2 linked regions of the Kluyveromyces lactis genome follow. The protein of the gene in region 1 interacts with the protein of each later gene in a pairwise test. Links are inferred from orthologs where the notes say so. Each region holds a gene or a part of one and is shown in the gene's direction. Other genes may lie near its edges. The genes, in order: SLH1 and RQT4.

Region 1 (13,218 bases):
CGGAGGCTAAGAAGCGTCAACCCTCTGTAATTTGCATACCAAACTTAGAATTATGGCTCCAAGCCTGTCCCCAAAGTTGTCTCATCACTTTAACCACTCTTTTCAGATCATTGCAGAGTAATGAAAACGTGGTTTTACTAGCTATCGCTGACGGCTTATCTCGCGCTGAAATTGAGGACGGTCCACTTGCAATGTTTTCCTTTGGGCCCAACATAGTGAACATTAACGAACCCTCCCCTCATCAAAGGTTTATGTATTTCAAAACCGTAGCTGATCTTATTAAGATGAAACCGACTCAATACATTGAATCGAGGAAAAGGAAGAAGCCACTTCCAAAATTACCTGTCGTCGAAACCTCACAGGAAATAGATGAGAATGGCAGACTTTTAACAGAAGAGGAGAAATTGAGACTGGAATTGAAAAAGTTCCAACACCAAGACATGAAATTAAAGAACACCTTGAAAATAAAGCTTTCTGGTTTAATGGATCTTTTCAAGAATCGTTACAAGAGGTTCAGGAAACCTCCTATTGATGATACGTTCTTGATTCACTTATTTGAGCCTGAAACCTTTGCTGCCAACCAAGGCTGGCAACCTGCTTATGTAAAGGACGGCGATATGATTCTCGAAGTTGCTACTGGTAGAAAATTCTATAACATGGATTTGGATATTATCGAAGAGAGATTATGGAATGGTTATTACTCTGAGCCGAAACAATTCCTAAAAGATATCGAGTTGATTTATCTTGATGCTACCACATCAGCGGACAGAGAAAGAGTAATAAAGGCATCTGAAATGTTTGCTAATGCACAAGTCGGCATCGAAGATATCTCGCAACCAGAATTTGTTGCAGAATGCAAAGCCACACGCCAAAGAGAACTTCTAAGACAAGAATTATTTATAAAGGAAAAAAGTGAACGAGTGGATAAGGAACAACAAATACTTTTGCAGAACAATCCAACTCAAACTGATTCGATCGCTACAGTTGAACTAACTACCGCCTCAGGAAACCAAGTGCAGTCTCAGGCTCAATTAGATGCGGGTACACTAGATCTAGGTGAAACGTCTCAAGTAGAGCCATTCACAACACAGCCTGTGAACTTTGGAACCAATGATGCTGATTTGGCAAAAACGGACACTGTTCAAGATTATTCGGAGAGCAGGCTTACCAATGCGGAAAATGGCTTTGCTCAGACTAGTCACAATAATTCGCATTTAACTGTTGATACTGAAGATGCAACTAATAAGGAGCAGGAAAAGCAACCACCGAGCGTCACTGAAGCTGAAGTAGAACCAGAAGCTCAATCAGAACCAGAACCAGAGTCAGAACCAGAGTCAGAATTAGAACCAGAACCAGAATTCGTCTACGATGAATCTAGAGCTCTCTCTTTGATCTCTGCTCTGGAAAAAAATACACAAAACTTCACAGTAGAGAAACTAGAAGAAGTTTATGCATCCATAGCCAACGTCATCTGGAACAATAGACTTTCATGGGACAAAACGGATGCTCTCGATCAGTTAGAAGGGCTTATCAAGACTTTATAAAAGAATTTCTGTTTATAGAATTATGGATTTTAACTAAACTTCAACTCATTTAACTATTTACAAGTGCATCAATTTCAGAACAGGCATCTAACAACTCGTAATCATTACCGTGTTGAGAGAATACTTGAATACCAAATGCGTGCCCTGCCGGTACAGTCATTGTTGGAAGCCCACATAATGACATGGGCATTGTGAATATGTCATTTATGTATGTATTCAAAGGGTTTTTATTCTCCTCGCTCACAACTTCATCATAGGTAGTAGGAAATGAAGTTGAGGTTAGGGACAACATGATATCAACGCCGTCTTTATTAACAGAGTTCCCACTTAACACATTTGGGAACCTGAAAGCCCGATCAAAGTCATTTATTAGTTGGACTCTTAGCTTTTGAGCTTTAATGTAGTTGTTCTTAAAGGACTCTGAGCATAAGTTGTAATTTCCCAAGATGATTCTGTTTTGAACTTCCGGTCCGAATGCCGACCTTGTTGGTGTAAATAAAGTACCATCTTCAACATCGGATTCTGCTCTATAACCGTACCGGACACCATCATATCTGGAAAGATTAGACACTGCCTCGGCAGGAGACAACGTGTAATAAATAGATAGTGCATTTTTCACTGATGGAATTGACACAGGATATACCTCATGCCCTTTCTTCATTAAACGTTTAATGATCGCCGTCATGGCAGCTCTAAATTCAGCAGGAACACTTTCCTGAGAAAATTCTTCCGGTATACCTATTCTTAAAGTCTTTCTCTTGGTTGTCAATGAAGTAAACTTGTGTCTCAATTCCTCGCTTAACGAAGTTGGATCTTTCTTGTCATGCTTATCTAACAACGAGAAGACCCTATCAATCATAGACAAATCGTTCGCAAATACCCCTACCGTATCCAAGCTCTGAGCATACGATATAACTCCATGCCTTGAGAGCCTACCATACGACGGCTTGAATCCAAAAGTTGAAGTGTATGAGGCTGGTAACCTTACGGACCCACCTGTGTCAGTTCCTAATGCAAAATCAACAACTCCGGATGCTACTGCAGCAGCAGATCCAGATGACGAACCACCTGCGATAACTCGATCCTTGTGATCAAAGAGCGGGTTGAATGTTGGCCCAAAATGAGAATGTATCCCAGCAGAACCCATACCGAATTCATCCATGTTGGCTTTACCAGCTATCACCGTTCCTGCTTCTAGCAATAACGAAACAACGGTGGCATCAAAAGGCGACATATAGCCATCTAAAATCTTAGAGGCACATGTAGAAGGCATATTCTTGGTGGCTATATTGTCCTTAATGGCGGCCAGGGTATAATTCAACGGTTTATCTGCGGTAGTGTTCTTATCTATTGATTCCAATTGCGACGATGCTCTCTCATTAACATATGTGAAAACATTGTAGCGACTTTGAATCTCCGGTATCTGCTGGAGCCTCGAAAGTGCCGTCTTGATAGACATGATCAGTAGCGAGTGTGTATGGTCAATTAAAAGAGAATTAGAGTAAGTCACTCCATTTTCACTTCCCAATGTAATATATTGTAGTGTATTGATTGAAAAGAACTAAATTCGATTCTAAGGTTTCATATCTATGAAACTTATTAACTATTGAACAGTTAAAGATCACAACCCGATTAGGGACCGATATATGGGACATACTAGCGCACATTCATAACTAGAGACCGGGAATAACTCATGGCTGTTGAAATAATCGATCTATCTACTGAGGTGGAACAATTAGGGTTACAAGGCGATACAGGGAAAGAAGTGTATGAGACCAGTGATGTTGAAGAAACACCAGACCAAGTAGTGATTACCGAGGCAAATGAAGATATAATTGAGGAGGAAATACCTAAGGTTCAAGAGAATAACGAAAGGTTCGAGCATTCTGTGCTAAGTTCGGAGGATACCGATTTTTCAGGAAAACTATACGCACTGCCGACGTATAATATCAGACATATAAATGAAACAAGAAGGCAGAGGCTGGCAAGGATACGGAGGGAGCTCCTTGAGATAGAGCAGGATTCCGAGGAGGATGGTTCCTCAAACGAATTACAGAACTTGAAGCAATTGTATGAAACGTTGGCTCAGTCTACGGAAAGTACAATGGAAAACATACAAAGCCAATTGGTCATAGCATCAGACGAGGATACAGAAAATGAGGTTACACTTCCAAACATCAGGATAGAAATCAACCAATTGAAGCAGCTGGAGGATATTGAGCATAAGATTTCCATATTGGAGTCACAAATCGGACCCTCGAATACGAATAAATCGATAACGTCAATCATCAATGAACTTCACAGAGAGATTAATATCCTCAAGTTGGATGAACCGACGTTGACTGGATTCCAAAATAAAATGAAAGAGATAAGTGATCAGTATGACCAGTCGATCATCGGAAGGAGAGCTCAGAAAGACCCAAATCTATCTACTGATATCGAAAGGAAGTTAAAATCTACAGAATCTAAGGTCAATGACATTTACGATAAGTATAACATCTTAAACAAGTACTCGGAAGTGATTCCACAAATCACAGAACGTGTACAGTCGCTAAACGTTCTACATACCTCTGTGAATGACATGAACGATACGGTATCTGAGATTAACGATCATATGTCTTCAGTTCATTCTCAGATCGAAAAATGGTCATCGCTCTTAGAATCCACGTCACGACAGCTTACCGACAGAGAACAATCCTTCAAGCGGACTAGGCATCAACTAGAGTTACAGCTCAACGATCTAGAGGTGAGAATAGGTAAATTGAGTGGCCAATAGCGTTTCTATGGATAGTTAATACTAGTAGTCAGTAGCCTTTTTTTTTATAGCTCATCTCTTCGCATTGTTAAAAGTGCACAAGAATCATAATTCGTAATCTTTAGCAAAGAACACCTTTTAAGTTGACTTTAACACAAGAAGATCAACGTAAAGCCCATATTGGAAAACCGTTACAGTCGTTATACTGTAGTTTGGCTATAGGGTTGATAATATTAATCTTTGTACAGGATGAGTACGACTTATTCAGTCCATTCCGTGGGCTCTTATATGAAGGCGATGGAAGTAATGGTTTCAGCAGCTCAGGCATTCCCTCATCTAGATACAAGCACAATCCCTAAGGTCGATGAGGAATTGAAGAAGGGTACTAAGCGTAGTGATAATAGAAATAAATTGTTGGTAACTTCTCAGGATAGGAATGAATGGGATGATATATTTGAAGAGTTTGCAAACCTTTCATCTGATAACTTACAATCGTTGATTACATCCAATCATTCAGCTTCTAATGCACAAGCACAAGTATACAAAGAGCTATTCAGACTACTTGATAATGTTGATTCTGATTTCCCTCGAGATCAACTACTACAGCAGTTGATCGAGTTGTTGAGGAACAATGAAAATACTGGAACTGCGGACCAAGATCTCTTCGATTACCTAGGTGCTGAAAACATCGAGCTGATATCGTTTCTAATTGAGAATCAAGAGATATTGAAACACACTCCGATTGAACATATGTCTAATTCGGATACTTACGAGGGAAACCGATTCATGACCGAAGAGGACATGAGAAGACAAGTCCTCAAGAATAGGGAAAAAGGTAAAAACGCTAAATTGGCTACTGCACAAAGAAAAGTAAAGTATCCACATGTCTTTAGACAGTCGGAGGATGCTGGATCGTCAATGCTTTCTTTTGCAGGTCAAAAATTTGCATTACCAGCTGGAAGCATGAGATATACTTTCCAAACACATGAAGAGATAACAATTCCATGCGCTGTACCGAAAAGAAAATTCGATATTCCATTGGTCAAAGTCAGTGATTTGGATGAATACTGCCGTAAAGTATTCGAGTATGATTATTTGAATAAGGTACAGTCCTTGGTTTACCCGGTAGCGTACAATACAAATGGTAACATGTTGATCTGCGCTCCAACTGGTGCAGGTAAAACCGATATTGCTTTATTGACTATATTAAATACAATCAAACAATTCTCCGTCATAAATGAAGAAGGCGGGTTTGACATTGAATATGATGATTTCAAAATTATCTACGTGGCTCCACTTAAGGCTTTAGCAGCTGAAATCACTGACAAGTTTGCTCGTAAGCTATCCGTGTTTGATGTCAAGGTTCGTGAACTTACAGGTGATATGCAACTAACGAAGCGAGAGATTCTTGAAACTCAAGTCATTGTTACAACACCTGAAAAATGGGATGTGGTCACACGTAAAGCAAGTGGTGACAATGACCTTACTTCAAAGGTGAAATTATTAATTTTAGACGAAGTTCATTTATTACATGAAGATAGAGGGTCAGTCATTGAAAGTTTGGTGGCACGTACTTTAAGACAGGTAGAAAGTTCGCAGACCATGATCCGTATCTTAGGTTTATCTGCTACCTTACCGAATTTCGTAGATGTTGCTGATTTCTTAGGTGTAAACAGGAATGTCGGGATGTTCTATTTCGACCAGTCTTTTAGGCCCAAAGCGTTAGAACAACATTTGATTGGTTGCAGAGGAAAAGCAGGAAGTAAGCAATGTAGAGAAAATACCGATAAAGTTGCCTACGAGAAGGCCGTAGAAATGATGAAACTTGGTAATCAAGTGATGATCTTTGTGCATTCAAGAAAGGATACTGTAAAAACTGCCAGAACACTTATAAGTATGGCAAGAGACAATTATGAGATGGATTTATTCACAAGTAACGATGCTTCCGTAACAATATTTCAAAAGGAACTTTCCAAACATAAAGATAAAGATCTTAAGGAGTTATTCCAATCAGGGTTTGGTGTTCACCACGCCGGTATGTCACGTTCAGATCGTAATATAACAGAAAAAATGTTCAAAAGCGGAGCCGTAAATGTACTTGTTTGTACAGCTACATTAGCTTGGGGTGTCAATTTACCTGCTGATTGTGTCATTATCAAGGGAACCCAGGTTTATGACTCCAAGAAAGGTGGTTACACTGATCTTGGAATTTCAGATGTTATTCAGATCTTCGGTCGTGCTGGTAGACCAGGGTTTGGTTCTGATTATGGTACTGCTTACTTATGTACTTCAAACGACCGTTTAGATCATTATGTCGACCTAATCACGCAACAACATCCTATTGAATCAAGACTAGGTGCTAAGGTTGTCGACAACTTGAATGCCGAAATATCTCTTGGAACAGTCACGAACGTTGAGGAAGGTGTGAAGTGGTTAGGATATACTTACATGTTTGTCAGGATGAAACAGAATCCTTTTACTTATGGTATTGATTGGGAAGAGATCCGAAATGATCCGCAATTGTACGAGAAGAGAAGACAAATCATCATAACAGCCGCCCGTCGTCTACATTCTCTACAAATGATTGTTTTCGATGAAGTTTCAATGCATTTCATTCCAAAGGATTTGGGAAGAATTGCTTCCGAGTTTTATTTACTTAATGAGTCTGTCGAAATCTTTAACCAAGTTGCTAATCCAAGGGCTACTGAAGCAGATGTGTTAGCCATGATTAGTATGAGCAGCGAATTCGATTCCATCAAGTTCAGAGAAGAAGAATCTAATGAATTAAATAAACTTCTTGACTGTGCCGTTGAATGTCAGATTTCTGGGGACGTCGACAGTTCACCTGGTAAGACAAATATTCTTCTACAAGCGTATGTTTCTCAAAGCAGAATTAATGACTCTGCACTAAATTCAGATGCAAATTACATTGCTCAGAATTCTGCAAGAATATGTAGGGCATTACTTCTAATTGGTATTAATAGAAGATGGGGCACGTTTTCAAAAGTTATGCTAGATATATGCAAGTCCATCGAAAAGAGAATGTGGGCATTTGATCATCCATTATGTCAATTTGACTTACCAGATACGATATTGAGGAACATCAAGGCAAAGAACCCCAGTATGGAAATGCTCTTAGATATGGACGCTGCCGAGTTAGCAGATCTTGTTCACAACCAAAAGATGGGTGGGAAGTTATATCGTATAATATCTCGTTTCCCAAGAGTAGACATAGACGCAGAGATTTTCCCGATAACAACAAATGTGATGAGGGTCCATATATCATTATTACCAAACTTTGAATGGGATTATCATGTACACGGCGATGCTCAATTCTTCTGGGTATTTGTGGAAGAATCCAATCAATCGAGTATTTTACATTTCGAGAAGTTCATATTAAACAAGAGGCAACTAAGTAATCCACACGAAATGGATTTCATGATTCCATTATCAGACCCACTGCCACCTCAAGTTATTGTCAAAGTTGTATCAGATACTTGGATCGGCTGTGAAAGCGCTCATACTATTTCTTTCCAGCACTTAATTAGACCTCACAATGAAACTTTACAAACAAGGTTACAAAAACTTAATCCGCTACCAACCTCTGCTTTGAAAAACCCATTGGTCGAGTCTATTTATCCCTTCAAATATTTCAATCCAATGCAAACAATGGTGTTCCATACATTATACCATTCCAACGTCAGTACGTTTGTTGGTTCCCCTACGGGGTCAGGTAAAACCGTCGTGGCAGAATTGGCCATTTGGCATGCATTCAGGGACTATCCTGGTAGTAAGGTTGTATATATCGCACCAATGAAGGCACTTGTGAGGGAAAGAGTGAATGATTGGAGAAAAAGAATCACTCCTGTCACTGGTGATAGGATAGTTGAATTGACTGGTGATTCCGTACCTGATCCTCAGGACATTAAAGATGCAACCATTGTCATTACAACACCAGAAAAGTTTGATGGTATTTCTCGTAACTGGCAAACCCGTAAGTTTGTGCAAAACGTTTCGTTGATCATTATGGATGAAATTCACTTACTTGCAAGTGATCGTGGTCCTATCTTAGAAATGATTGTAAGTCGTATGAATTATGTTTCCTCACAAACGAAAAAACCTATTAGATTGTTGGGTATGTCAACCGCTGTTTCAAATGCCTTTGATATGGCAAGCTGGTTAGGTGTTAAAGGAAATGGGTTGTATAATTTTCCCTCCAGTGTTCGTCCTGTGCCCCTAAAGATGTATATCGATGGATTCCCAGATAACCTAAACTTCTGTCCTTTAATGAAAACGATGAATAAGCCGGCTTTCATGGCCATTAAACAGCACTCACCGGAAAAACCTGTTCTACTATTTGTTGCCTCTCGTCGTCAAACTAGATTAACAGCTTTAGACCTAATTCATCTCTGTGGTATGGAAGACAACCCACGTAGATTCTTACACATAGACGATGAAGAAGAATTGCAGTATTATATTTCCAAAGTATCAGATGATACTTTAAAATTATCTCTTCAATTCGGCATTGGCTTACATCATGCTGGTTTGATAGAAAGCGATAGAGCAATCTCGCATGAACTCTTCCTAAGAAGTAAAATACAAATTCTCGTTGCTACTTCAACTTTAGCTTGGGGTGTTAACCTTCCTGCCCATTTAGTCATCATTAAAGGTACACAATTTTTCGATGCAAAGATCGAAGGTTACAGAGATATGGACTTAACAGATATATTGCAAATGATGGGTAGAGCAGGGAGACCCGCTTATGATACTTCAGGTACCGCTATTGTGTACACAAAGGAATCAAAAAAAATGTTCTACAAACATTTCCTAAACGTTGGGTTCCCCGTTGAATCATCTTTACACAAAGTGCTTGATGATCACATGGGTGCTGAAATAGCATCTGGTACTATATCGACTAAACAAGAGGCTCTTGACTTTTTGAATTGGACTTTCCTTTTCAGGAGAGCTCATCATAATCCTACTTATTATGGAATCAATGATGATACTAGTACTTCTGGTATCAATAAGTACTTAAGCGACTTAGTGAACAACACTCTTGATAATTTGAAAGAATCTAGATGTGTGGAGATTTATGGTACAAATATCTACTCAACACCATATTTGAGTATCTCCTCCTATTACTACATTTCGCATAAAACCATCCGTTCGCTTTTGAAACAAATCAACTCTAACGCATCGTTCCAAGATGTTCTAAAATGGTTATCACTTGCTGTTGAATATAACGAACTTCCAGTGAGAAACGGTGAAATAATCATGAATGTAGAAATGTCTGCACAGTCAAGGTATTCTATCGAATCTACCTTCATTGACGAATTTGAACTTCCAATGTGGGATCCACACGTGAAGGCTTTCTTATTGTTACAGGCATACCTCAGTCGTGCTGAACTTCCCATTGTTGATTATCATCAAGATACTATTTCGGTACTCGATCAATCTTTGCGTATCTTACAGGCTTATGTTGACGTGGCGGCCGAGCTAGGTTACTTCAACACCGTGATGACTCTGATAAAGGCCATGCAATGTGTGAAGCAAGGGTACTGGTATGAAGACGATCCTATCTCAGCGTTACCTGGAGCTCATTTAAAGAGAGACGACCGTATCGAATTCGGAGATGATGGTTGGCCATTACCTGATAATGGATACAAGATGAGTTTAGACTCTTTAGCAAGACTTCAAGATGACAATGGCGCCAAGAACAAGGTGAAGAATATCATGTCCAGACAGTACCATGTTACACCTGACCATCAAAAACGTATGTTGAGGGAAATATCCAGGTTACCCATATTAGACAATATTGTGTTCACTTCTCAGACCAGTAATGAATCATTAGTTCTTAAGGCCACACACCATAACAGGGTACCTAAAGAATTTTCAGTATACTGTGCGAAATATCCAAAGACTCAAAGAGAGCTCTGGTTTGCGATTGCATATCAAAACGATGAACTAATCATGTTGAAAAGATGTCAGCCAAGACTAGGACCCAATGGAAAAGGTTTACTAAGTTTCGACTTTGTTGTACCTGAAGATATTCGCGGTAAAGAATTAGATTTCGTTTTGGTAAGTGATGCTCTTGATATCAAGTACCACCTGAAGCACAAATTGATGGAGTAAGGAACTCTTACATTTTAAACACATATATAAATACATTAATTCTTTTTAATAAAAGTACAACAGTTGGCAAGCAGTTGCCTACACTTCACTCGAAGAAATCGTCTTCTTCTTCTTCGTCGTTGAACTGTTTCTCTGTAGCTTCTTCTTCTACTTGCTCTTCTTCCAACATGACACCCGTACTGTCCTTATTCAATCTCTTACCTTCCAAAATTTGGCTCAAGGACACGGGCAAAGTACCCTCATCCAATTGCTTAGCAACAAGATTACGGAATTCAGTTCTCTTGGCGTCAGTACTATCTAAACCCTTCTTCACTTCTTCAGACAATTCTTTAGCATCTGAAGAGCCAGTTGGATATAACGCAATATATTTACTCAGTCTTGGGAAATTGACAACATAACATAGATCTATCGTACAGTCACGTAACTCGTTTTGAAATCTCTTATTCTCAGGATCAGCAATCACTTTCTTGGACGCTTGCTTGTACCTCCGTAACGCTTTTTTCCGTTCGAAAAACCTCACCATATGATATTTCTTAGCATTTTTACGACCAACCTGCCTCAACTCTGCCTCTTTCAATTCAAACTTCAAACCTTCCAACATACGTTCCTTCTCCACGATTACAGTGTCAGGAAGTACGTCTCTTCTCTTCTGTAGTAGTCTCTCTACGTTTCTTATCTGTTTCTTGATCTTATTCGCTCCAGCACCAATGACACTGGCCAACTGCAACGACGAATCGTGTCTTTGTCTAGGACGTTTAGATTTACCGCTCATATTATCAATGTGGAATATGGTTTACTGCACAGTCTTTGTATCCAGGCCAGCTATTGTCCTGTTACCAACCTATTCAGCTGTACCTCATCTCATCTCATCTCATAGAAGATTCTTTTCAGCTCGAATCAAAGCTTTATTTCTTTTTCTTTGGCAATGAGGTATATGAAGAGACGTGAACAAACAACGAGAGAACTCAAGAAGCGTTGTTGTCCTAGAATACCTACGAAGCAGTAGTACATAAGTATGGTATCGTAATTTTTCGAATTATATATCTGTACGTGTGCACATATTTTATTTATATCCACACAGTAAGATGAAGTTTGCCAGGGAAAATCCCAAGGGTATCTTACAGGTAAAAGGTGCATCCTTTAAACAAGGCATTGCTCCTGGAGGGACGCGGCACCAGCAAACTCTGATCATTTTTTCCACCAATAATTAGGGTATTACAGGATATCAGACGTTTTTTTTGGAGAATTGAAGAGGGCGTGGATGTGTATGTGTTACATGGAATGAGAGAACTGACGCAAAAAGAGAGGGAAGTAAATAGAAGAAGAAGAAGAATAGCACTGGGGCATTCTCGCCCCAGTGTCAGTCCTTCTTCTTCCTGCCGAAAAACCCTCTCTTTTTCTTCGTCTTCTGTTCCTTATTCGCATCAGAAACGGGTGCCTGATACACACCTTGTTGCTGGTACGAATTCGTCGTATTCGTATTCATATTCAAGTTCGATGGGTACCCATGATGGTCGTTCCCATTGCCTGCAACACCACCAGTATACGCCTGGAACCCGGGCCTGACCCTAAACCCGTACTGTGGCGTTTCTAGCTGCTGCGACCAAGTCGGATCTCCAGAGATTGAATACTCAAAGCCTCTAATCGTATCCAACGGACGCTCGTCACGTGACCGCGTGGGGTTAGACACATCAGGTTGCTGGATAGGTTGTCCAAACACGTCCTTCAACTCCCCCGTGGGCACGTGCGACTGTCTGTTCATATTGCCCTGGAACGTGTCTGCTGCTTGCTCGAAGGGCTGCATCTCTTGCACCGCCTCAAGGATAGGATCATGAACCGATGCAGTCCGAACTTTCAAATGCTGACGGTCTTCCTTTGTAATCTTCACTTCGTTTGAACCGGTGGAACCATGGCTGCTCGAATCACCACTACTACGTCTGTTGAAAACACCCATACTGTATTATAACCTTGTATATTAATCCCTTGGACGTTGTTGAACTGAATACAGAGAGGTACTCTCCCCTTTTGATGGAAGTCAATGTTTATGGTCAGGTTCTATTTAAATAGTCTTTTTTCCTATTATAAGATTTTTGTCCAAAAGGCCGAGACTGATGAAGATTTGAATCATGCAATGCGAGAGAGGAATGGAAAAGTTTCGCAAACTCAGCCACTTCGGACGGCTGATAAGTTCAGAAGGTTTGTAGAAAATACGATTGTGTCAATGCGGCATGTATGGAGAAGGCTGGTATTTTTGGATTGTGTGGAAATACGTGTGTTTTTAGATATTGATATATGTTGAGTATATAGTAGTAGTAATAGTTCTAAAATAGAATACTGTACTTGACGATGATGGGGTAAAAAAAGATCAGGGGAAAAGAATTTTTCATGCTTCGGAACAATGCTTGATGATTGCTATTCTGATGACGTTGTATGCATCGAGTAGTTGTGATTCTTCCATGGAAGAATTACAGCATATGCTGATGTTTGGTGTGACTGGTAAGGTTTCTTGTTTTAGAACGATGGTATCTCTTGAGATCAAGATGTTTCCGTCGATTAGTACGGTGTCGACTATGGCTTGTAAGAATATTTCTTCCTTTTCCCAAGATTCCACGAAATGGTCTGAGATACAGTGTTGTTGTTGGTATTGGGATTCTTGGAAGACGGATTCAATGGAGGATCCGAATTTCTGTTGACGTTGAGCGTCGGTGAGTTGGAAATGGAGTACGCTTGAGTCCCGATGCGATGTTACCTCGATGTATCTTAGCAATTCTGTGTCTGTTTGGAACC
Region 2 (12,667 bases), on another chromosome or scaffold:
GCACATGTTGCGGCAAAAGATAACAGCAACAGATTAGAATGGAATATGACAAAATTAACACGATATCCGAAATGTTACTAAATTTCAGCCTTTGGTCAACAAAGCTCACGTATATGCTTTTTTGTAGAACACTAGAAACAAAAGCAGAGTTTAGCGATTGTAATATGCAGAATAAGAAAGTGTTAGTCCGAGAAAAAGATACCCATCTTGAGAAGGTCCATATCTTGTTCAGTGTTTTCAGGACCTAACAACTTTGAATCCTTGTCGTCTTGTTCTTCCATTAATTCTTCTAGTGTTGGTGCTACAAACGGTGTATCATTAACATGTTCACTTAAAGGATCGTCTGGATCTATGCTATTCAAATTTAAGTTCATAAAAGAATTTTCGTCATCTTCGCTGAGTTTCAACAGCAATGACGAGGGCAACGAATCATCGAGATCGATTGGCAAATCGCCAAGTTTCGAACCAGGGTTCTTAGTCAGAGCATGTTTTTGTAAGAAGTAAAGCATACTAGCATCTTGCTCCGCGTTATAAGCCTTTGAATTCGCTAACGTATCTGTCATTGGGTCTTCTTCTTTAATGCAATCCAATTCATCCTGATGGGTAGAGTGGTGATCTACCTTAAGCTTTTGTATAGATTTCAAAGGTTCTTGAGAATGTGAAGTCGAAAGTTTGTATTTGGAATAGAACTCCATTTGCTCATAACCATCCAAGAATTTCATAGCTTCAATAGTATCAGAGAACTGAGAATTTGGTAAGCTCTTATTTGATGTGTGGCTACTACTTGGACTTGATCCTGTATTCGTCAAGGTAGATGAATTGGAAAGAAGTTGATTGCTCACGGTACGATTTAAGTCGGTAGAGAATAAAGAACTTGGGGTAGATGATGATAGTAACAGATCGTCTTCATCTGTCAAACTTGCACGAGAACTCAAAGAAGAGGTCTGAACCATCCTTGAAGAGGAAAGATTTTTGATGAAGTCTCTATTTGGTTCATCATCTTCATCGAATTTCAAAAAGATTTCAGTATCGTCTGCAGGTTCTGGTTTCACTTCGATTTGTAACATATCAGCATCATTGTCAATGATAGATCTTTTACGAGGCAATCTCTCAGTATGTTCTTGCTTCACATGTACTGGCTCATGGTACGATTTATTTGTCATTGGTTTTGGAAGAATCTTCTGTTGCATTGGAACACTGCTGTTGACACTTGGTACTATGGTATGTGGAGATTTAGAATTTGATTCTTCTGGTACGATAGGGAACTGACGTTTCAATTCCTGTAAGTTACCCACTAGATCGGTAAGCTCCTTCTTAAGCTTATTGTTTTCCATCTTAAGGATCTTGATCTCTTTCTTCAAAGCAGTTTTGGAACCTGGTTTTTTCTTTGGCTCCACGGGTTGTGCAGATTGAATATGATCTAAAGTAACATCCAGCTGTTCCATTTTCACCTGTGGCTTAACTTTTGCGCTTTCCATTTTAGCTGATGGCTTTAAGGTCGGAATTGGCATGACTTGTTTCTTGCAAGCAGCTGGTGCAATTTTGGCACGGATGGGCTTAGGCTGGGTATGAGTGATCGATGTTGTCTGTTCAACTTGTATTGCTTTTGACTTGGCGTTTGTAGATTTACAGTTAGTCAACGGGATAGTTGATGATGATGATGATGATGAGGAGCTTGCGGTTGGCACTCCTGTACGGACTGCAGTCGTTGTAGATGACGCTACTGTACCTTGATCAGAAGAAGAGCAACTTTTACCAGAATCAATAACAGTGGCAGCCAAGTGTTTTTTCGATCCCGGTCTCAAATTCTCAACTTCTTTCACTGATTCCACAGGTTCTTGTTTAATCTTGGCATTAGTACTTGAAGCAGAAGCAGGCGTAGTGGACTCTACAGCCATACCCTTGACATTTGCCAGTTGCTGCTTTATCGATAAAGAAGGACTGGGTTTTCTACCCGGTTTAGGCCTCGGTGGAAGAACCCAGTGCCTAGACGTTCGAATCGTGATCCCAGTGGGTTTCTCATGTTTCTTCGGCTGTAAATTAGGAGCAATTGTAATCTGCTGATGAGGCCCAGTGTGTCCGTGAAGGGGCTCCAATGAAACTGGCCTGGACATTAGTTAATTCTTACTCTGTGTCTGAAGTGCTTTTATTATAGAATTCTCTCCGGACCAGCGAAAACAATATTAACTGGTTCGGAACCGGAGCCGTAACCAGAGTTGCGAAGTATGCGTTTGAAAGTAGGATACAAAAACCTTACGGCGAGATGCAACCTAAATTAGTTTGAACCACCTGCGATACGATTGAATCACGCTTGTTGAGTCCTTGTGTGTCTGTTAGAACCTGTTTTAGTTTCGGAGAAGTCGTTTGTTTCGGTAGAATTAACTACTCAACTTTTCAATTTAAACCGAAATTGAGAGAGAGAGAGAGAGGGGGAACAATGGTAAAAATGAGGGCATGATACATCAAGACGAGCCATCATGAATTTATATATCTCAGGCCATAAGATAGTATGGCCTGAGTACTAAGAGGTATCTCAAGTTTGAAATGGGGATTGGGTGTTGAGTTGCTAATAATTGATCACGTGACCATGACCCCAGATACAAAGCCACGCTCCCAAACTGGATCCCCCCCCTCCTCCCCGTTACAGTACTACGCTAGTACTAGCATGCTGAATTCACATCCCCAATCAATGCAACAGCAGCGTAGCTGCTGTTGCTGGGATCACCTATCGTTTAATTTCTTGATACCTGCGTCGTTTCCGATGCCACATTCTACAATGTGGAATGAGAAGCTAAAACCTCATAAAAATACCCTATAAAAAGCCTGAATGAGCGAATGCAATTACAAACTCCATCTGTAGTCATTGTAGACTAGCTAAATCATTCTAATGAGGCATAGCTGTCAACCAGATATATAGTTATTTGACGGTGTCACAGCAAATATGTGGGGCTGGTCTTGACATCCCCGGGTAACCCCTTCTGTTTTCGAAAAGTCATCGAAAAGTTGAGAACAGAAAGAACTGGAACTAATAACAGCATTAAACACTAAACTACTCATCGGATTAACTTCTAAGCTTTGTCTAAGAACGCCGTTCCAGTTCGAGTAAACTGCGCATATCCAAGAAATACAACAAGACTATAGGATATGGCACACAGAGCGTTTATACAGGTGATTTTCACCGGGGCACAGGTGTTTGGACGTGCGTTTGCGGAATCTTACAGACAAGCAGCAGCTCAAACAGCTAAACAAACGGCAAATGCTTCTAGAGGCCGTGGTGCTAGCGCAGAATACGGAGGTATCACTTTAGATGAGAGTTCTAAGATTTTGAACATTGAGAATGAACAGGATATGAATTTGGATAAAATCAACGAAAGATTCAAGTATTTGTTCGAGATCAACGATAAAGAGAAAGGTGGATCATTCTACTTGCAGAGTAAGATTTACAGGGCAGCAGAGCGTTTGAAGTACGAGCTTGCTGAAAAGGAAAAGGCTGCCAATCCAGAACTGAATCAAGAACAAGCGAAGTCGAGTTCCACGACGGAGTCACCGGAGTTGAAAAAATAGCGTAAGGTCATTCTCTCTGGCCTAGTATAAGTTTTGTAAATAGTTCAAATAAACCGAAATACACGCATCGCATGCTCATCGTATCATGTTCAGCACAATATCATCAGTGGTTGATGAAGCTGATTTATGTCTACAACTAATTAATACAAAAATTCTCTAGAAGATGGGAAAACTGTTCCATCATGAAGAAGGGCACAACGGAGAGTGAAAATCCAAACTCTCAGGCAGCCATTACGCAAAGCCCTCTGGATCACATGCAACACCTGGAAGAACAACTAGAGCGAGCTGTTAAACCGCTTCTAATCATCACTTTCCAGACCTCTTCATAATGGTTAAAAGAAAGAAGTGATGCAAAAAACCGGGAAAAGGAAGAGACTTCCCCTCCCAACTCAATGCGCTTCCAACTTTATTGATCTAAGAAACCGGAAACGAAATGGAAACTGTGGCCAGCTTGTTTGGGGCTAGTCAGGATCCATTCAGCTATGGGTTAAAAAATGGTAACAGTCACTCTTCTCCAGTATTAACTAAAGCCGTTCCTAGATCTCCGAAGAAACCTAGGAAAAACTTCTTGAGAAAAGAGATAACCGAAACCGTAGGTTTCTATGGTGTATATGTGTATTAATATTATCTTGAGATAGTACTAACCACTACTGATGATTGGTTTATTAAGAACAAACATCAAAAAGATTTTCCAATCTTTGAACTGTAAGAGTGTTTGAAAGAGGTTCAAAGTGTTGAAAAATTTGCCACTTTTATACTATTGATCGGAAAGATTACCCGGACATACGTCTCTACTATTATAATTGATTTAGGGTTTTACCAGGTAAGATATCGTTGACCAGACAAGCATGTTGCAGATATTTGGGGCCCTTCATGGTGTATATTGCCTAGTCGAGAATCAGTTTATATGAAATGTAAATCTGTTCATCCAAGTGGGATCTTTTGAGTCGAACTTATAAGCAATATACTGCTCATCTTGCCCATGCAGCTCGTCCTACTCACTGCACTGCTTAATAAGTGTCAATATCCAGGAACTTCGGTTACTTAGAGTAGTACCCAGCTTCTGGGCTGTGGCACCAGCAGTAACTATACCGTTTAGATTTATATATAGTTATAGAAAGGTTCGGGTATTAATGTCTGTCAGTCCAAGATAATGTGACGTTAACAACCATTTGACAGTAAAGCTTCCGAAGCTGCTACTTTCGATCCAAGTTCTCGAGTCTATGATTCTTCATGAGATCACCTGGACAGCCACCCAATTGTTACAATAGACCTCTTGTTGGCTGATCGGTTCCACCTTTTCTTTCATAACTTGAGAACTCTCATCTTTTAAAGTGAAAAAGTCTAATATTGAGAGATGAGCCTTAGCAACTGAGAAAGTAACTACTCGTATCCAAACAACACAGTAAAAGGATATACATAGCACTGGAATAATATTGCCAAAACAGTCACAATGACGAAAGAGGATGCTATTGAGTATGCTATAAAGGAATTGCCCAACATTTTGCCACTAGATACAGAACAGATCAAAGATCTATGTGAACAGACGATAAAAGAAGGCAACAACCCTGAACAGATAGCCCAATCCTTTTTTGATCTTTTAGGGCAAGACGACTCATCGGTACATTTCATATTTGAGTTCAATGAGAGGCTCATGGAATTGCCCCGTAAAACGGCTGTCAAGAAACCAATAGTGAACGAAACAACCAATACTAAAAAAGTGATATCTCCATTGATTAATACTGTGAAAACCAATGATTCCAGGGCCGAGTTCGCCAACAAGTCTATTCAAGCAACGAAACCGATATTGAATAGAGAATTAAAAAAGGTACCGACTGCCAAGGCTGTGAAAAAGGATTCGGGGAAAGAGAGTAAAGAAGTCAGATTAGATTCATTGAAGGATATCGATGATGTGTTAAAGATGTTGGAGATGAGGTCAGTCTCTGGGGATTCCGGTCAATATAAATGCAATTGCCAGGGAACAAGGCACCCAATATTCGATCCTGCACCAAACTGTCTGTCATGTGGCAAAATAATATGTGTCAAAGAAGGTTTGCATATGAACAATTGCAGCTTTTGCGGAGCTGAATTAATCCCAGCTAAGGAACGCGAACAAATCTTAGAATTGCTACGGTTAGAGAGAGAACAAATAGAGCTTCAGAAAGTTGAAGAGAACAAGCCCAAGCCGAAGCAAACCAAGAAATATAAGATTAAATCTGGTGCAGGCACAAATTTATGGCAAGAACAAGAGAAAATGCTACAAAGAGTGGAGAAAGATCGGGAACAAGAGAGAGAGATTAAACGACAACAAATATTGAATGGGGAGTCAAAGGAAGAAGAGGAGGATGAACAACTTATTGAAGCACGAAATCGACTCGACAAGCTACTTCATTTCCAGGATACCAGTGCTGAAAGAACCAAGATCATTGACAATGCTAGTGATTTCGCTATGAATGAAGATGTCATGTGGGGTTCTGCTTACGAAAGAGCATTACAACTAAAGAAACAGCAAAGAAATTTACGAAAATGGGAAAAGATTGAGAATGAACGCAATGGAAGGCGTGAAAAGGTCGTCTTGGACTTGACGATCGGTAAGGATGGTAAAGTTGTTATGACAGAAGCAGTTAGAAAGAGCAGCAAAAAAACGAATGCAACTAGTGATGATGAAATAGATGATATTAGCGATGAAGAAGATCTCCAAGACTTGGAAGATATCAAGAATTTGAAGTTAGAGATAAATCAACAAAAACAGAAGGAGAGTTCCAAGTTAACAAACAATGTTTGGGATTATAACAAGGCGCAGTCGGAGTTTAAGAAACCTGTATACATAGCAAACGCTGAGGAAGAAAAAGAATCTGCTCCTAAAAAGGTATCAAATGAAGTTCATCGTGTCCAAGTAGGTATTGATGATAGACCATCACTTCAAGATAGCATTTTGGCAATTTTGTGAAATTTGTCTGCCCGGACCGCCGATGTTTCCATAATCAATAAATAAATGTGTTGGAAAATTTATATATAGTTACATATCGAGCAAGCGTTACGGTTGGAACAATTCGACTATCATTCAATATCGAAAATTGGTAAGAACTGGCCCATTATTAACATTGGAATATTAAATGCATCTCTTTTAACTGTCCAAATACATGCACACCGTAGATAGCATCCATTCTTTAACAAAAGGTTACATTCGCTAAAAATAGCCTGACCATCAGAAGTTCCGGTCGATGAATTGAAGGGCCCACTTTGAGTTGAACCAAATGCCAAATACTCATGGAATATATCATAGTAATCTACTATGCTTTCATTGTCCATGAATTCCATGATAAACTTTCGTTTGTTTAAAATCTCCTTTTTGTTGAACCCGGTAAGGGATATAAATTCATTAGAAGCAAAGCATATCTCCCCTGACCTTCTCCATATACACATTGGGGTACAATTTACAAGTTTGGCCATGCTTTCATACTCTAACAATGCCCTTTGGAGAATAATTTCTTGTAATTTTAAATCTTGAGCAATTAAACTATTAGTTAGTGTAACGAATATTGGTGCATAATGTGTTTTAATAGAGTGGGCTATATTTTGCAATTGCTCGGGGCCATCCCTCTGAGATTTACCCGAGGAAGGTTTATCTGAATTAATGAATCTCCATCTCAAAAATCTTAACAGTTCCAGATAAGCTGACTTATAATTATGCGGTTGAATTAAAGCTTGATGTTTGTACAAGTCCTCAGGTGTCTTAACCAGTAATCTAAACCTGTATGGACTCAAATTCTCCACAGTTTCACCACCTTGAGATTCCGGTGACGTATCATTTGCAGAATGCCTTTTAGATTCACTTGCCATTTGATCTAACGATATGTGCGGCCTGGAATGCGTCCTTTTCAACCCATTGCTTGTGAGATTTAGCAGTTCCTGAGTATTGATAGGTCTTTGAGATTCAGTGATAGGATCCATTTTCATCATGTTACTTGGAGACCACGCTATATTGGAATTCAAGTATGTCTTTGAGTTATTTCGGGAAAGGTTTGGTGTCGATAGCATATCATTGAGCTTTGTATATTCTTCCGTAGTCCATACACTCCCGAACTCCCCAGTGCTACTGTTGCTGCTCGTATGATCTGAATTCAGCTTCTCTGGGATTGGCAGCAGCTGCTGTGCTGGTTGTTGCGGCCCCTGCTGAGGTGCTCGCTCAGAAAGTGGTTTATTCTTAAATTCCTCCAAGGGAGTCTTATCAGCCAGAGAGGGTAAATTGGCTGCACTATTCTGATTACTTGGCAACAAGGCATCCGAGATAATGGGCTCTGCAGTTGGGTTGAATAACTGAGTGAGACTGGGAATCTTCGGCAACTCTGGCGACATAACTTTCTTCTGTTTCCCAAACATATCAGATGGAGAATTTATAACGGGCATTTGTAACGGTAAAGAATCCATAGCTAGCTTGGAGATCCTCGTCTTCTTTGTCGAAACTCCAGTTTGCTTGGCCTTTATTATTTTACTCGAATTTTGTCTATTGCTAACGGCAGTTGCAGTATTAATAACGGGGATCAGTTGTTGATTAATAGTATTAGATATCTCTGACTTTGTCGACGCCGAAACCTCACGTTCCTTCTTAACTTTCCGCGGTCCGCGTTTCCTGGGCTTACGCTCCTTATCCCTACATGTGTCACCAATCCCACGCTTCGAGCAGTTTTGGCAGGGTCTACCAAGATCACATTGTAAATGCTTCTCATGGCAAAACACACAAGCTGTCGGTATCGGTTTTCGATTCAGTTTCTCTTGAGCTGTAAGTTTCTTCGTCATTACAAAATATACCAACCATAAAATACAACTTAGTTCTTATAATAAATAGTTCCGGTCGAGGAATAATACCTTGTTGAATACCCTGGTCTCTTCCAAAATTAGAAAAGCGATCGAAAACAGCGATATCTGAAAGGCTGAATAACTCAGTATTAGAGTCTTGAGTAGCGAATGTCTCAGCCAGGTGATATGTACCGTTTCCGGTATATAAGAAGTTAATTTGGATAATTCAAACGAAGTTCTTAAATCTTGTTTGTCATTTTCTTTATATCTGGGGAAAACATTCAAAAAGTGTTGATGATTTATTTTGAATCAGCAAAGGGTTCAAGACGAACTGGAGTAAATCGCGACCTTTAAAAACTCTCGCTTAGTATACTAGCATTTAAAAGCTGTACTAAGGGGGTAAAAGATTGGCTTTTAGTGTCTATCAAATGTTTATGTAGTGCAAATGTTAGAAATACATGAGTTTTGAATAAAGTATATGTAGAAGTTGGCTGGAGTGAGTTTACATTTATGCAAAGTTGAATTCGTCGTTAGATTGTCTCATGGCCATCTTGGCCATACGTAGCATTTTAGACTTCGAGTCCTCTTTTGGTTTCTTTTGGGAAGCTGCAGCAGCAGCTCCGGCTTTACCTTGCTGGAGACCCATCGATTTAGGTCTTTCTCTTAGGGCAAATGATTTGGCCAAATGACCAAGATGTAGACATTTAAGGTTGAAAAACTTCTTTTCGATGGAAAGATGGGTAGCATACGCTCTGATGTGGGACATGTACCCCTTGACAGCCAATTCCTTGAAGTGAGAATCTTCGATTACTCTCCTTTCAACGTTTAAGTGCCAAGTAGTAGCGTTGTTGTCCCAAGCTTGTGCTTCATGTTTGTCCCAATCTTCCTTCTTTTTATCGGTTCTTCGGACGTTGAGCCCCTCGAATGCAGGCCTCAAAACTTGCTCGTCGTATGTGAGTAATTTCCAACCTTTTGGATGGTACGGTTTGATGTAGTCCATGTATCCTTCTTCTTCACCAGGTAAGAGGAATAGTAGAGATTCACCTTCGCAACCAGCACGAGCAGTACGCCCGATTCTGTGTAAATGGTCTTCTACTGCAAACGGTGGATCCATTTCTATAACAGTACTCACATGGGGTAAATCAAGACCTCTGGATGCAACATCGGTACAAAATAAGATCAGATGCTTACCCTTGGTGGCATCGTTATTCGTGGCGAAGTGTTTTAAGGTTGCGGTTCTTGTTTGTTGCGATAAGGACCCATGCAACTTGTAACATATGACGTTTGGATCGTCCGTGTCGTTGAAACATGGAAGTATGCTGTTCCCCTTTGTGAGAAGCCTTGCGGTATCTCCAACGAGACCTCTATGATTCCCATCATGCGATGAAAACACTTCGTAGTGGAAATCTACACTATCAGAACAAGATAAAAACACAATGGTTCTTGTTACGTCTGATTTTGATCCTTCTTTATAATGCTTTTGAGTTATAGTTGTCAAAGATCCCGCTAGAGTAACTAGCCTTAGCTTTGGTGGCACTATGACAATCTTTTGAAGTAATTGATCTGGTACTGTAGTAGTTTCCGTTTGTTTTTGACCACTGCTAATCAATTTGTAGTTTTGAAGCGTTACATTGCCAAGTTTTGTCACGTTACCTTTCACAGTAGCACTACACAAGACGTGTAAAATTCTCTTTGGCAACTTGGGGAATTGATGAGTATCTATATCGATACCATGAATGATATTGAGGATTTCCTTCAAAGTCTCTTCAAACCCCAATTCCATCAACTTATCACCTTCATCCAAAACAACATATCTTAAACTTGGAGCCAATTGTTCTTTAATGACTTTTGTGTTCTGTAAATGATCCAATACTCTACCTGGAGTACCAATGATAAAGTTAGCACCTTTTCTCAATCTCGCCTTTTCCGATTTCTTTCTTTCACCACCAATAAGGAGACATGGCACAAGGAAATGACAACATTGAGCAAGCTCAGAAGTCACTTGATAAATTTGGTTGGCCAATTCTCTTGTTGGTGTAACTACAAGTGCAAAACATCCAGATTGTCTTGTGATATTTTGACCCAACGATAGTATGCTTTGGAAAATTGGTAATAAAAACGCCAATGTCTTACCAGAACCAGTTTGTGCATGAATAAACAAGTCGTTTTGTGCTTGTAAGAATGGTGGGATAACCAACTTCTGAATCTTAGTTGGCTTAGAAATCTTCATCTTGACGTTTAAGTGTGAAACCATCGTGTCAGTGATACCGAACGAATCGAAGGTGTCACCAACCAATGGTGCATTGGAATAAGTCACTTCGGCTTTTTCATCATGAGCATTACTATTGGTAACTGTGTCAATATTTCTACTGGACGTGAACAAAGAGGAAACGATTTGCGAGTTTAGCTGTAATGGTTGCGTTACCCTAGCTGGTTGTTCTACATTAGAACTGTTATCAAATCTTGATCTCTTAGGTTCTACAGGTGCCTGTGCCGAAGTTGAATTCGAAGAGGAGGCTTCCAATTCTTCAAAAGTTGGTGCTCCATCAGATTCTAATGGTCTCTTTTCACCCCTGACCCTCGGTTTACGACCTTCCATCATCATTTTGGCCTTTCTCCTGTCCTTCCATTTACCACCGGTAATTTTACCTCTACTGACTGTTTCACTAGCATCACTAACGTCAGTTGTAAAATTTAACAGCATTCCATCATCGTCATCATTGAAACTCATCTTTACCTACTTGATGATCGTTGATATGGGCTGCTGAGCGACGTACAGAGACTTTCACTTCATCTAATGTCAGCTCATCGCACAGTTAAGTCCTACTTCCATATTAAAATTTTCTATGCTTGATGTCAAGAAAAAGCAATACAAAGGTAAATACTCACAGAATTGGATAAAATACAGTTAGATTGGCGACTATCAGGATCGTTTGAACTGGACATTTGACACTGTAGTGGTTCGTGCTATGTACAGGTCATGTTATGTGCTGAAATTGATATCTCTTTGGTTTCATTACTGATTCAATTCTACAAACCTTGTCTGAAGTTTAATGTTAAAGCATATTATATACACGTAGAAAGGCAGATGGACAGAGACAAAAGTCGCTTATGACAAATATTAATAAGGTGGTGATGAAATACTCGCCCAGCCGGTATGGAACCAGTTGGAAGGTGATAAACCATCCTTTTACAGACGCTTCTCTCTTCTTGTTTCAATGATCACAAGACACGGCTCATCGCATCGATTGAAATTTTGACATTTCGGATGAGAAGGCTCACTCATTAGTACAACTAATGAGTGTTGAACCACTTGTACAACCAACTATTGTCCTGTTTCTATCCAGGTATCTGTAAGAGGGTGTCAGTGGTCTCAAAATGTCTAATGGTTTGTTTGTTACCGATGAGGACGGTGATACTGAGATGAATGGGAACGGTAAACTCGATAAGAAGCTCCAATCATCAGAGATTCTTAAAGAAGACGATCCAGTAGTGAATGAAATACCCATTAATTTAACGGTTGGACCTTGTCCATTGCATGTGTTACAGTTTCCTAACAAACCTAAAAGACTGGCGAAGAATATGGATGAACATCCTCCAATTGCTGGTGTACGCTATAAGGATGAATCAAGCGTTTGGGAGATAGATATCCCATTGAATACACAGGTCTTCTTCGACAAAGAAAAAGCTGCTGAGTCTTGGAACAATGTCGACGTTCAAACTTTGAAAGGTGTGGCTGTAAGCAACGACATGTTGCAATACGCAGGCGTTATGAAACAAGGACAGCTATATTTAATACCAGTAGAGAAAGTTGCCCAAATGAGACCATACTTCCGTTACATCGATTCGCATCAACAGGTTAAGAAGGACGAGGATGCCAAGGCGAAACCTGCGAATCCAACTGCCAAGAAAAACCAGGTAATAACAATGTCAGTGAAGAGTAGCAGCGAAGCGAATCAAAATAGACTAGGAGGTGCATTGCTAGCTCATAAGGTAGCAGACGAAGAGGAATTCAAACCTTTGGAATGGAAGGACGATACTTTCGAATCGTTTGTAGAAGAAGTTACAAGTGAAAAAAGTACTGTACCATTAAAACCAATGGACAACGACGCTGTGTATCTATCAAAACTATTTTAATTAATTATCGTATTTAGTAAGTATAAATATATATTAAACCGAGAAGGGATCAAATTCTCCTTAATCATACCACATCTTAATCAACTCCTCAGAAACAGCACTAGGTGTCAACCCTCCAAGATCAGTGATCAAAGCTGTGATGTATTCTTGACTTGTAAAGTCGACA

What was found.
Region 2: the proteins of SLH1 (region 1) and RQT4 interact in a protein complementation assay, tested with the Saccharomyces cerevisiae proteins (2 studies listed by BioGRID). The link is inferred for Kluyveromyces lactis from reciprocal best matches to the Saccharomyces cerevisiae genes SLH1 and RQT4.

The regions. Positions count from the first base shown.
Region 1 is NC_006037.1:860,874-874,091, forward strand, and holds SLH1 (RNA helicase), read left to right. Parts: upstream 1-4,548; coding exon 4,549-10,431; downstream 10,432-13,218. Other genes in the region: chromatin segregase YTA7, read left to right, coding at 1-1,544; glutamyl-tRNA(Gln) amidotransferase subunit HER2, read right to left, coding at 1,594-3,003; JNM1 (Jnm1p), read left to right, coding at 3,238-4,320; EFG1 (Efg1p), read right to left, coding at 10,517-11,203; KLLA0_A09933g (DUF2406 domain-containing protein), read right to left, coding at 11,792-12,385; serine C-palmitoyltransferase LCB1, read right to left, coding at 12,815-13,218. UniProt on the Saccharomyces cerevisiae protein: Involved in activation of the ribosome quality control (RQC) pathway, a pathway that degrades nascent peptide chains during problematic translation.
Region 2 is NC_006042.1:1,281,134-1,293,800, forward strand, and holds RQT4 (Rqt4p), read left to right. Parts: upstream 1-5,017; coding exon 5,018-6,514; downstream 6,515-12,667. Other genes in the region: transcription factor HAP4, read right to left, coding at 183-2,114; import motor complex subunit PAM16, read left to right, coding at 3,145-3,564; GSM1 (Gsm1p), read right to left, coding at 6,625-8,364; DBP7 (putative ATP-dependent RNA helicase), read right to left, coding at 8,873-11,095; RPC37 (DNA-directed RNA polymerase III subunit C37), read left to right, coding at 11,743-12,501; GCN3 (translation initiation factor eIF2B subunit alpha), read right to left, coding at 12,562-12,667.